Linked DNA regions of Saccharomyces cerevisiae S288C. The gene in region 3 interacts genetically with the main gene of each other region. Each region holds a gene or a part of one and is shown on either strand. Other genes may lie near its edges.

Region 1 (3,677 bases), on a different chromosome or scaffold from region 3:
TGATGCGACTATCGCTTCTGCAAATTCAGAGAGTACTGAGAATAAGGAACAATTCATAATCAAGCTTCAAAACTTATATAATTGGACACCATCTAATTACATTGGAGATGACGAAATTGAGAACTTTCGAAATGGCACACCAGATAAGTTGGTTTCAGACTCTCTCTTAAAACTTAAAAGACTTAGAAAGGAGAGGATTTTAAATAAAGTTTTGAAGCCTACTACGGAGGAACGAGAATTATACTTCAAAGTGAAAAGAATACTAAAGGAGGTTATCTTAGCAAAGAAGGTTTCCAAGGTTCCTATAAACAATGTAAGGGCCTTTCCAGTATTACAAACAAACTATAATGGTAGCATACCTGTGGTAAGGGCGCAACCAGGTCGTAAACGGAAACACAAGAAATAAATAGTGTCAGCGGTAGTGGAATCAAAGATAAATAATGAATTATCTTTGTTTTAGTTTCATGAAAGCTCATCAAGTCTTTTTTGACTAATGTATGTTTATATTTTGATATTAGATAAAGTATGCATTTGTTCTGAAGGCTATGCATACGTAAGTATATACTTGGGTTGTATTATGCAGAATAAAGAAATGAGAGAAAACAAGAATCGAGAGAAAACGACACACTTGACAATAAATAGGTTCCATTAAAAATGGATGTCGGCACCTAAGAGATAGGAAATCACCAAATAGCAATTCAAGCTCCCGATTAAAGCCCATACGAAAACAGAGGTATAGGTCAACAAACGACTGTTAGTAAAATCAACTATTTTACTGTGCTTGGAGTTCAATGGAGTGGTTTCATCAGCAATGGCGTTAACATCGGCAGGTGCTCTTACCACACCATTTTCGTCATGAACAACCATCAACTTTCTATTTGCGGTAAAATAAATTAAAGGAGCGGATACGATTGGTAAAATTAAGGACAAGACCACTTGAGAAAAATTCAAAATATCTGAAATTCCCTTTTCCCCCATGGTTAAAGTAACAAATAAACATGGTACAATGGCAATCAATCTGGTGCACAATCTTGTGGCCCAAGGTGGTAAAGACCACTGTAAAAATCCCTCAGAAACGATTTGCCCGGCAAGTGTACAGATGATACCGGCAGATTGACCAGAACATAACATGGCCAATGCAAAGATTAACCCTGCCGCAGGAGATATGTAGTGGACCAGTAATTTGTAAATAGATAACAAATCAGCATCCTCTGCCTCAGGTTGGCCTGATAAAGTAGCACCTGCAACAATTAAAATAGCGGAATTAACAAAGGTGGCAATTAAGAACAAAGAAATGATTAGTTCAGCGTACGCATAGTTTAACGTATATTTTATAGCGCTTAAACTTGGGCGGGCATTAACCTTACCGTATTTCTTCAAATCGTAATCGTGCAATCTTGGTTTAACAATGGATGAGCCCAAGTATAATGAATGAGGCATCACAGTGGCACCTAAGATACCCAATGAAATGTAAAGAGCTTGTTGTTCCTTAAAAATGATATTTGAAGGCAAAAACCCTTTAAACAATTCAGCTTTGTCTGGGATTGAAACTTTAAACAGCTCCAAAACAAAGCAAATGCAAGTTCCAATGACCAAAATCCCAACGCCAAATTCGAAAACCCTAACTTTTTTTAAGGACTGGCCGTTTGGTGTGTAGAACATTAAAATTACCAAAACATCTAGCACCGTTAATAAGACACCCCAAGTTAGTGGTATTTTGAAAAGAATTTGTAAAGCGATGGCAGTGCCTACAACCTCGGCCAGATCAGTAGCAATGATTGCCACTTCAGCGAAAAGGTAAAGGGTATAGTTTAGCTTTTTAGGCAAATTATGACGACAGTTTTCAGCCAAATCATAGCCAGTGATAGTACCCAGCTTCACACAGAGACATTGCAAAAGTACGGCAAAAATGTTGGATATAAAAATAGAGAATAATAAGGTATATTTGTATTGAGCACCACCGGAAACACTAGTGGCATAATTTCCTGGGTCCATATAAGCCACACTGACTAATATCCCTGGCCCAATAAATTTGGCAAATTTTTGAAGAATCTGCATATAAGATCGCATTTTTTTTCTCTTGTGATGCTACTACTGTTATCAATTAGCTTGGAAGAACGATATATTTAAAGGAGTTCAGAAGGAAATAATAGTTTGGGTATGACAACTGAAAAAAAAAATGAACTAATATATAAAGGAACCCCGTATATTTATGTGGAGTGATCTTTGTCTTCTAGCTCCTTTGAAATAAATATTCAATTATGCAACCTCACAGAATCAGATGAATGAGATATATACAGTATAAATACCTTTAGTCGCATGACAACAGGATGTCGTAACAATGCAATATTAGAGCATTTTTAAGTTGACCCAAAACGGAAATTTCAAGGTGCGGAAACTGGAAGAGAGGCAGGGCGGGCAACAGGGTGCGGTTACCATGAGTTACAAACAATGGTCTATTATGAAGTAATCTATTGTGCTGAGTGGTGATAGTGCACCCGATCATCAGGGGCTGTCTGGCGTGAAGAGGCACCATTCATTTGTCGTGGCTTCAATGTGTCCCGGTTTCTTCACATGCGCTCGCAAGGCTTGCAAAAGACTGGAAGAAGGGCTTGTGGCATCGTCCCTCGATCGTAACCACAGAGTTTCTTTGGCAAAGTTATCGCTGTCATGCTTAACAATTTTTTCATTCTTCAGGGTATAGACGTAGTTGTTGGTATACTCGGAAAAATGCATGAGTTTCGGCCTTGTTTTGTGCATGCAGGATGCTTTCTTTATATAATTATCAGTTACTTTTTTTTTCGAATTTCGTGGAATGGTCATGTCCACGGTATTGTTTCTTTTACCGTAGGTTTGCTGAAGCTTTATTAGTTCCTTTTTTTCTGTATTTGAAAGCTGTCTTTCGTTGGGCATTCCCCTTTTATTGGCATCTCCACAGCTAGTACGTTTGGCCTCAAGTAAGTTTTCGCTCAGTTTCTTGTTGACGTTTCTTATTTTTGTGATCATAAAAGGATTAGAAATAGAAGCGTCCTTAGAAAGTTCTAAATCCTCGTTCTCTGGAATAGTTTCTATATAGTTATAAGTTAATGACGAGGGTAATGTTGAGGATCCAGCTCCTGCTACTTCACTATTTTCGCTTAGTTCTTGTTGGAAATTATGTCGCCAATTAGTACTGTCCTCGGAAGCCATAGACCCGGAACTCGAGCTTCTATAACTTGAAATGGTCAGCTGAGTTTGTTCGTCAAGAGCTTTATCCTCGCTAAATTTTGTAGGTGAAGGAGTAGCAGCGACAATGGTCGTATTCTCTAAGTTTGCTTCATCGTAAAAAGTTGGTACTATCAAATCTGAGTTTTTTTGTGGGATGTCAGTCTTGTCTTTACCACTAACAGCACCACAGCCCTTTGATATTTCATTCTCTGCGTCGGGTGTAGGTATCACCAGTGCGGGAGAAGTTTTTTCGTTGATAGAAGGCTGAACATGTTTATCTCCCAGCATATTTGTTTCGATGCCAATTCTCTCCTCCAATAACAACTTTAACTTATTCTCTATCTTCTTAAATATCACTTCAAAACTTTTGATCATCACGTCATTTTTCTCTGGTTCGATATTTACGTCAAGAAGCTTTGTATCGCAATTTAAATTAATAAACCAAACCATAGGATCTAGTAAAGAGAAAT
Region 2 (4,168 bases), on a different chromosome or scaffold from region 3:
TGGCCGAATTTATACAGAAGATTGACGGCACTTCACCTCGAGAACTGTTGGTGCTTTTTTGCCTTTCACTTTTCTTTTTCTCCTATATTGTCGTATCGCTTCCAGATGTGAAAAATTGGCAATGTGATCTTCGGTCAAGGACGGACCGGACATATAAGCGGAGCGGGGAATCTTTAGTCAGCAATGGAAGTTCACACAGTAGAGACACAAATTGTGTCACAGTATATCACCCATTTACTGTAAAAAGATAAAAAGACCAGTAAATGTAACGGAAAACCATTCATTTTAACGGAGCCGTGACGAGAGTGGCTGTGATCGGAATTCCACGTCAAGGTCCTGGAAGACGGGGATCGGGGACTAAAAAAGAGCGTCGAAAGTATCCAGTACGTCATTACCAAGTTGAAAATGAAAAAAGATCAATTAGCCACATTTTATCCTGGATTTATTATCTATTATATATCATTTTAAATGGTTTAGGCTCCCAGAGAAAAAAGCAAAACTCAGGTGAGGTATATGTACAAACTAAATAAAAGTTCTAAGGTCGATCGCTACCTCCGTATAGAAATTCCTAAAATCCCTAAGGAAAATTAACTCCCTCATAAGTAACATGAGGAATTCTTCCCACTAATGCTAAAATGTTCAATGAAGCTATTTTTCCAACATCATAACCTCTGGGAAACGCTTTTCTACGTATGATAGAAGTATGCGCCTACGTGCGTACAAAGCGGTAACCTCCACTCTTCTTTGACGATCGGCCCAATTATGTGCTTGCAACAAAACTAGCAAGAAAAATTCTTCGATAATCATAGTTGGCGTGTTAGCAATCAATTGACCTGTTGTACTCCAACGCAAACCGGAAGCAATACAAATTAAACCAATGATGATGATGACGGATACAAGAACACTCCATGGAGTTGAGCAGATCCTATTAATATATTGGGATGTTCTGTAACCAATAGTGTTAATTTCAGGAGCTTTACCACTAAATTCTTCGGGACATTCAATACCTAATTCTTGGAATAATTCAAGGTCTTCTTTAGCCACATCAGAATAATTTTTCTCTTCATGTTGAACGATTCGGAAGTACACTTCTCTCAAAACGAAACCGTCCAAAAACCCAATTAAACCTGTGTATGTACCGATAATCAACCACCAATTATCATCCCACTTCATTGGCGAACCAATACCAATCCATGTGGCGAACACTGCCACACCAATCAGGACACCAATACCAGTACCAATAATATCAGCATACCAATCAATCATCTTTCTCCCTGTCGACCTTTTTTTAGATTCAATAGTAACAACTGGGTGAGGTGTTTCAAAATCGTTAAAATGCTTTCTTATACGATAGTCGATTTTCTCGTCCATATCAAAGATATCAACTAAAAACCTCCCCGTGAAATAATCATGTCTAGCCCTTATATTTTGTAAGAAAGTAGTGCAAATTAGAAGGGAAACTGCAACTGCAGTGTTAATATACATCTGCCAAGCGTCACTGAACTTTTTCAATCTTGGATTACTACCTGTAGTTTCTCCGGTGTAAGGTGGAGTGTTGCCCGCATCTTTTGGGATAGCACCGCAACCAATCCAAACGAAAATACCTATCCAAAATATCACCATTGCTGCAATTGAACCCATATACCTACTTGCTACGTTAGATAAACGGTCGTACCAATTTTCCACAGGCAGTTCTCCGTTAATGGCAGATGGGTCTATATGATTTTCAACAGAGCTGACTTCATTAGCTTCAACTGTGCAGTCTGCTTTTTCTTCCTCTGGGGTGCTTCTTGTTAGATAGTTTTTGAAGGAAGCCAATCTCGACTTCAATCTACCGCAGATCAAAATTTGTTCATGCGTACTCATCAACTGTTGTCTCATCAACAGTGTGTCCCAAACATAACTTTGAATAGACTGTCCGTCCTGCATAACAACTTGCCAATTGAAAGGTGCGTTATAAACAATACCAATAACCACCCAAATTATGAGGATGATCCAAACAATAAAAAAAACCGCCTGCGAACCGGCCACTCGTACCAGGAAATCCAGGGTCTTATCTGTGAAACCTTTGCTTAACCCGGTAAAACCTTTACTCGTGAAGATTGCCCCTGTTTCTGTTAAATTCACATTACAAAGTTCGTCATCAGTACTCTCATCGCTATGGCTGACTACTCTGACCACATCATCATTTTTGTAATCGTTAGAATCACCGAATTCTTCGTACTGTTTGCAGTCAACAGTAGGTGCTCTATGATGAACGTCAGGCCTAGCACCTGGATTCCCGAGAAACTCTGCAATTTTACCCATAATTTGATTAACGAATGTTTAATAATAAGGGTCTTATTAGGTTTCTATATCTACCTTTTCCCTTCTTATATCTGATACTGTTTGACTTATGATAAAAGAAACTTACTTACCTATCAATTAATTCATGCCGTGTGAAGTATATTTATATAAACAAGTATTTCTAAATGAAGAGCATCGAATCAAGATGTGGTAGATGCTAAACTAATGGGTGCAATTAAGAAGGCTTCTACCAAGCAAGTTCAAGGCCAGTAGCATTATATAGTTTTTTTGTCTTTATTTTTTTTTTTGGTTTTTTTTTTTTTCGTTTGAGAAAAATGCTGCTTCCTAAAAAGACTCAGCAAAAATGCTCATGACCTAATCAGTTTCGAGAGCAACCCCACGGGTAGGAAAGAAAGAGGCGCCAACGTTAAAGGAAACTGCCCATATCTAATACATAACCGCACAAGCTCCAAGCTCATTCAACACCTGTGTGATTTACGCCCCAATAAGGCTCAAGATTCCTCAATATTTTGTCGTTGTTCGAGCCATGAAAACCTCAAATTACTGCTACAGGACCCTAGGGTCTCGCTAAAAAAATGACTACGCGCGCTTATATAATTACTCGAATAAGACAAAAGAAAAAAACCCTTGCGATATGTCGTAGACACGTAAAAATGGCCCATTTAGTGGTAGTCGCAAACTAGAGGGGTAAAAATAACCTGTCCAGTACTGAAAGTAATGCTAGGGAAATGCGAATGACCGTACGTACACCTTCGTACATGCAGGTATTTAGGGGGCTTATTGTTTATGAACAATAGCACTATGCCAGGTCAAACATATCATGTTCGCGCAGTCTCCTCGTGGGATATATAAAGTGAACAAAAAGTGCACCCGGTTTTCGGAACAACGCTCTTCGCAACAAGGCAAAAAAGAAAAATGGGACAACGTAATCGGAGAATACCCAAAGGACATTATAATCCAATCAACGTAGTAGTACGTATGGTTAGAACAGCAAGCACAGATATTTGCTCATATGCAAGGAAACTGGTGTGATTAGAATGCCTTAAACATGAGTCCAATGTATGCGAATAAGATGCTACGTTGAATAAGCAGATCAAAGAACTTTTGGTAGGAAAAGCTTCTTTTTTTAAAAGCGCACGTTTCTTTTTCTTTGTTGGACCTTCCATCAAAATCCTTAATACGTGCAGCGAAGCAGCAACGCATTGACAGTTCATACAGGAAAGAGGAACAAATATTTTGAGCTGCTTGTCCCAGGAATCTAGGTGCTTACGTATCTTTTATTTTATTTAAATGTATGATCTTACCCACGATAATGGTCTTAGTACTTTAGTTTGGCAATGATGGAACCGGAGGACAACGGACAAAAGTTAGGGTATCTTTACTCTGTCACTGCGTATTTTTTGAAATACACTATTTTTACAAGGAGTTAAGCATAACAAGCACGTGCTGCAGATGTTTTCATTTAGTGAGTGAAGATCTTTATTCAAGTAATTCATCTTCATCCGTATAACTTCTTAGTAAAGCGACAAGGTCTGATGGCCGAATTTTTTTAATTTTGGCCATCGTATTAAAATGAACACTCTAAAGCCGAAATGAGAAAGATCTCGCTAATAGTAGGTTAGGACTCAATGGCTAGGTTATATTTTTGCCTTCGTGAGAGTAATTTACGTCGAGTAATGTCGCCTGACATCCATATCCCTTTGTTATTCTTCATTAAATGTCACTACAAATTCTGTCCTTACTGAAGTAAAGAATATTTGAAAATACTACACTGATCTTTAATTACTGATCTACAATAACACACAGTGTTGAAGGATAATTCCAAGACTCTCACCTGCGACTGGTCGTGTTAGGAAACCAA
Region 3 (4,875 bases):
TGATTCCTATGCACCACGCTATACGGAACGCAAAATGAGAATCCCATAGACTTAATGCAATGCACAAATAATGCATAACAAGAATTCCAATGGTTAAACACAATTGAATATAGCTCATCGTACTTCCACGCTTGCCGCGGGGGATAACTTCATTTGCGTAGGATGCTACTAAAATTGAAAAGTTCCCAAGGATCATACCCTTGATCATCCGGCAAATTAGTAAACCTAATATATCCCAAATACAAAAGTTCAATAACGTAACAATATTCCATATTATTATTCCCGATTGAAATTGATATATTCTACTGAATCTATCATTCATTATGCAGCAAATAAAACATCCCATGATACCACCCAGGGGGGTGGACCCCATGAGTAAACCTTGTTGTAAAGGAGTTGGATACTTGAAGTACTCATTAAACGTTTTGTTTGTGAGAAAAGTTGCCAATGACGGCACCTCAAGGCCCATTATAAATCCTACTAGTGTCAATATCGCCGTAATTTTCGTAACTTCATAAGTTTTTGTAATTTTGATTTTCGGCATCTTGGGAAGTCTCCAGACAATAGCTTTCATTGCTGTCATTGTGCTTAATAATTTTTAAAGTATAATGTTAGAAACTGTACTTGTTCTTTCTTTTTTCTCTTCTCATATTACACTTATTGAATATTTTGTTTTTTGATTTTCATCCTTTTTTTGTGACGTTCTTGGCTGAGCGTCACAACGTCAGAGCTAAAACAACGAAATAAAAGAGAAAAAAAAAGCAATAGATTTGATTACGTATGAATATTATATAGGGAATGGAATGAACAAAATGAAAATACTCAATAGTAAGCAGTATTTACAGTGCTACATTTTTTTTAGGATTGCAAATCATCAATATGAATATAAACTTCTTTCATTTTTCTTTTATATTTTCTTGTTTAATTAGCCGCGAGAAACCTCTATTTCATTTTCAGCCAAGATTTCCCTTAACGTGTGGTACACCTTCTCATCGTTAGGGATAACCTCGCCAATACCATACTGAGCAATGGAATATAGGCCCCAGACACCGATAATGGTTGAAATAATCAATGCCAAATATCCTTCAGTAGTAAATCCCTTTGGTAGTGGCTCAGGTTGTCTTGGTAATCCTTTTAAGTCAAACCAATCATTCGAATGACCTGCAGCATTACCAACTACCGGAATATCAGCGGCTTTGCATATATCCAGATAGTTCTCATTAAGCTTTTCCCTTTCCTGAAGTAAAACGGGTGCCTCAATAAAGACCGAAGCCAAACCTTGTTGTAAGTGCCAATCTACATGACAATGGAAATACCAGACACCAGGGTTGTCAGCTCTAAATCTCAGGACAACATGTCCACTAGGTTCAAGAACCACTGTATCTCTCACCATCGGCCTCTCAGGGAACGGTTGTAATGGCGCAGATTCGTTATAAGGGACGGTCATTTCATCTTGCTCAGATTCGTCATAAGCTTCATCAACATGGAACCCTGGCGACTTTTGGACTATTTGGAAATTATGACCGTGCAAATGGAATGGATGTCTGCCAGAATCATAATTGTTTAGAACAACCTCTATGATATCATTATGTTTCAATAACTGCGCATTGATATTATCACCATAAATTCTAGGATCTGACGCAAGCTTTCCTGAGGTAAGCAACGTTGTCAAAGTAGGCACCTTTGGTGTGACGTAAGTGATATTATTGAAAAATGCATACTTCACACCATCACCCAAGTTGACCATTCTTACATCCATGACAATTTGGTGGTCATAGTGAGCAAGTAGGTCTCTCTCAATCAGAGGTTCTAGGTAAAAGTCATTCGTGGCGCGGTCCAAGTCACAATCTTCAATGTTCAATGCGCGTGCCTCCGGCAACGAGTGGCCATACCTCATTTGGATAGTTTGGTTGAGTTGTAACTCAGGTGGGACAACATCAAGCATCGTCTCATCCATTATTTGCATCATAGCGTAGTTTCTTGTAGGCATTTTATCTTTAGCTTTAATCAACACACTCATTCTTTGCCCCGCAGAAAGATATATCGAATCAGTAAAGTTTGGCTTTACGTAAACACCGTCCACCTCTACTATACTCATTTCATGATCCTCAAGAATGATATACTGGGATACAAACAGCCCAACGTTCAAGAACCTGAAGAGATACGTTTCACCGGGTGTAAAATCTAAAGTTACATTCATCGTATTATTAAAAAGAATATTTTGAGGAATAGGTTCAGCACCGGTTGGATTATATCTTGACAGAAACTCTTTGGTAACCGTTTTATAATTTTCGTGATAATGGTCCGATAGAGTGATGACTCGTTCATGATCATATTCGAAGGGCTCCTCCGGATCGTGGATGATAAATGCACCCCTCATACCGTCACCGTACTGGGCACCCATGTGTGCATGGTACCAGAACGTTCCTACCTGCTCTGGGACAGTGAAGTTGTACAGGTATGTTTGTCCCGGAACGATGGGACATTGTGTCACCATAGAAGGACCATCCATTTGAAGCTGGTTCCCCAAACTCGTATTCTGGAAAAGACCATGGAAATGTAGAGAAGTAGCAGTATTGTCTTGAAAGCCGTTAGTCAAATAAAGCTCAACACGATCTCCTTTTTCAACATGGATATCTGGAAGTGGCCATTCGCCATTAAAACCAATCATCCTTTTTTCATGCAATCCATCAGGATTGGCAGTTACCCAAGAAGCGGTATAGTTTAACTTATGTGTCTTTGCCAAAGCAACACTAGCGGCCAGTACAGACCACACGAACGAGTAGAACAACATCGTTTCTTGTCTTCCTGTGCTTGATTCTTTCTTCTTTCATTCGGAACTCTTTTTTTACGTCTTCGTATTTTCTGTGATCTTATATAAAAATGTATGTATTATAAGAATCGATGGCGAAACAGGGTGCAGACTGAATACAAAAGCCACAAAGTAATAAAACAAGAATATTAAAAATATTTAGATACAGTTCGATAAATTCTATAAACACCTTACCTATCTTAGCTTGAGCAGCTTTTTTGAAAGGAAATCAACCAGTAGCCTATCGGTAATCAACTCATAGACATTAATACAATCCCTAGACATCAAATCAATGGCCAAGGAGTAGTCACCATCGTCATACTTGAATTTCACTTTATATGTAATCTCTCTGAAGGAATCTCGTTGGGAGGGTCCCCACATTTTCATTCGAGGGGTGGATATCAACCTACTTAACTGTTCCACCGTTCTTGACACATTTTAGCATATTCTCAACGCTCTTTTGAGTACCTGAGGACTCGAATCCATCAGGCTTCCTTTTTTTCTGATTATAGCAGTTCTTCATAGCGTTTATAAACTGTCCATTTTGCTCTTTCTTGGAATCATGTGTACTCATGAACACCAAACCCTCTGAGTACCGCACCCGCCAGCAGATCAATTGTTCCAGCACCTATAACTACAGCTTACTCCCCACACTTCAGCTAGGACGGCCTTACTACATGGAGAGCGACAAATAGTGGCATCTACAGAGGACTCTTGCTAGAAATTCACTGTAACGGTAATCAGTAAACGCAGTCGACGTTAACCACGAACTCTTGACAAAGGGTGCCGTCACGGTCAGTGATGCAGCAAATGGTATGTTGAGCTGCAAACTATAATGGCCTCACAGAAACTCTTTGGTAAACCTATTTGGGTATGAGGGCTATATGCTTACTGCATCACCCGCTTTACAGTAGTTTGAGATACTTCAATTTCAAGAACAGCACCGTTGGATTCGTGGCCCAAAGTCATGGGCTTCCCAGGTTACTTTACGCTGACCTGGCCATCCGTGTAGTAGTGAATGTCTGATCCGCAGATTCCAATAGCCTTCACTTAAACTTTGACCTGTGACATCACGTTGGCTTGGCAACTTTCTGAATCTCTTTCATGTTTGGTTCAAAACATTTGATAGCTTTCTGCATTGTGTTGAGTGGAGGTCAGAAGGTCAGATATTACCAATTACCGTCATCCTCAATGTCACTCATGATAGAATGTTTGCTTTATGTCTGAGATCAGAGAGATCGCGTATCGCTGAGCAGGGGGACTTGTTTCTCCCACCCTTTTTCATAAAGCATCTTGACAATTATATTAAAACACTCAACCATTTCGCTATCTGAGAAAAGGGTGAAGAAGGCAACTACACAAAAAGATTAGTGGTGATGTCGGATGTAGATAACTGGGAACCCGTATCAGATAATGAGGACAGTACTGATTCTGTGAAACAATTGGGTCCCCCCTTTGAGCATGCAAGTAACAATGACAATGCCGGCGATACTGAAGCTGAGTCACTGCAAGAAGTGCCCCTAAATACAGAGACCAACGACGTACGCAAGAATTTAGTAGTGATTACAAACCAAAGTGCCGCCGATGAACACCCTACAGAGATCAAGCACGATCAATCAAGGACTTCTTCGACGTCCTCGTTCTTCAGTGGAATGATCTCTTCGTTTAAGTCAAACGTGCCATCCCCAGTTTCTAGATCAACTACGCCAACTTCGCCAGTTTCGCAACCAAGCATTATATCACATAGAAGGGAGCCTTCCATGGGGTCCAAAAGAAGATCAAGCCGCCGTATCAGTAATGCCACAATTGCTGAAATAGGCTCTCCCTTGCAACAGGTGGAAAAGCCTGATGAGGTCAAGACAAGACTCACTCCTTCCCAAATGAAAGAAGACAATTACGATCATAGACGATTCGTGGAAGAACGTTACATGGACACACCTTATCACTATGCGTCTGAGCAAAGAAATAAAGACTTTCATGAGACATTCAAGTCCGTTCCTAAAGATGACAGACTACTGGATGATTTTAATTGTGGGCTGAATAGAGAGCTGCTTTACCAGGGG

The links.
Region 1: mutations in FET5 (region 3) and SMF3 impair growth when combined (synthetic growth defect), as found in Saccharomyces cerevisiae (one study listed by BioGRID).
Region 2: of FET5 (region 3) and FET4, extra expression of one rescues a mutant of the other (dosage rescue), as found in Saccharomyces cerevisiae (one study listed by BioGRID).

What each region holds. Positions count from the first base shown.
Region 1 is NC_001144.5:209,864-213,540, forward strand, and holds SMF3 (putative divalent metal ion transporter SMF3), read right to left. Parts: upstream 2,071-3,677; coding exon 649-2,070; downstream 1-648. Other genes in the region: RSC58 (Rsc58p), read left to right, coding at 1-406; mismatch repair protein MLH2, read right to left, coding at 2,506-3,677. UniProt on the Saccharomyces cerevisiae protein: Has a role in controlling the cellular iron ion levels. Mobilizes vacuolar stores of iron in conditions of low iron levels.
Region 2 is NC_001145.3:912,232-916,399, forward strand, and holds FET4 (Fet4p), read right to left. Parts: upstream 2,308-4,168; coding exon 649-2,307; downstream 1-648. UniProt on the Saccharomyces cerevisiae protein: Required for Fe(2+) ion low affinity uptake.
Region 3 is NC_001138.5:47,058-51,932, reverse strand, and holds FET5 (ferroxidase FET5), read right to left. Parts: upstream 2,795-4,875; coding exon 926-2,794; downstream 1-925. Other genes in the region: YFL040W (uncharacterized protein), read right to left, coding at 1-583; YFL041W-A (uncharacterized protein), read right to left, coding at 3,008-3,199; LAM5 (Lam5p), read left to right, coding at 4,189-4,875. UniProt on the Saccharomyces cerevisiae protein: Iron transport multicopper oxidase, which is required for Fe(2+) high affinity uptake. May be required to oxidize Fe(2+) and release it from the transporter. Essential component of copper-dependent iron transport.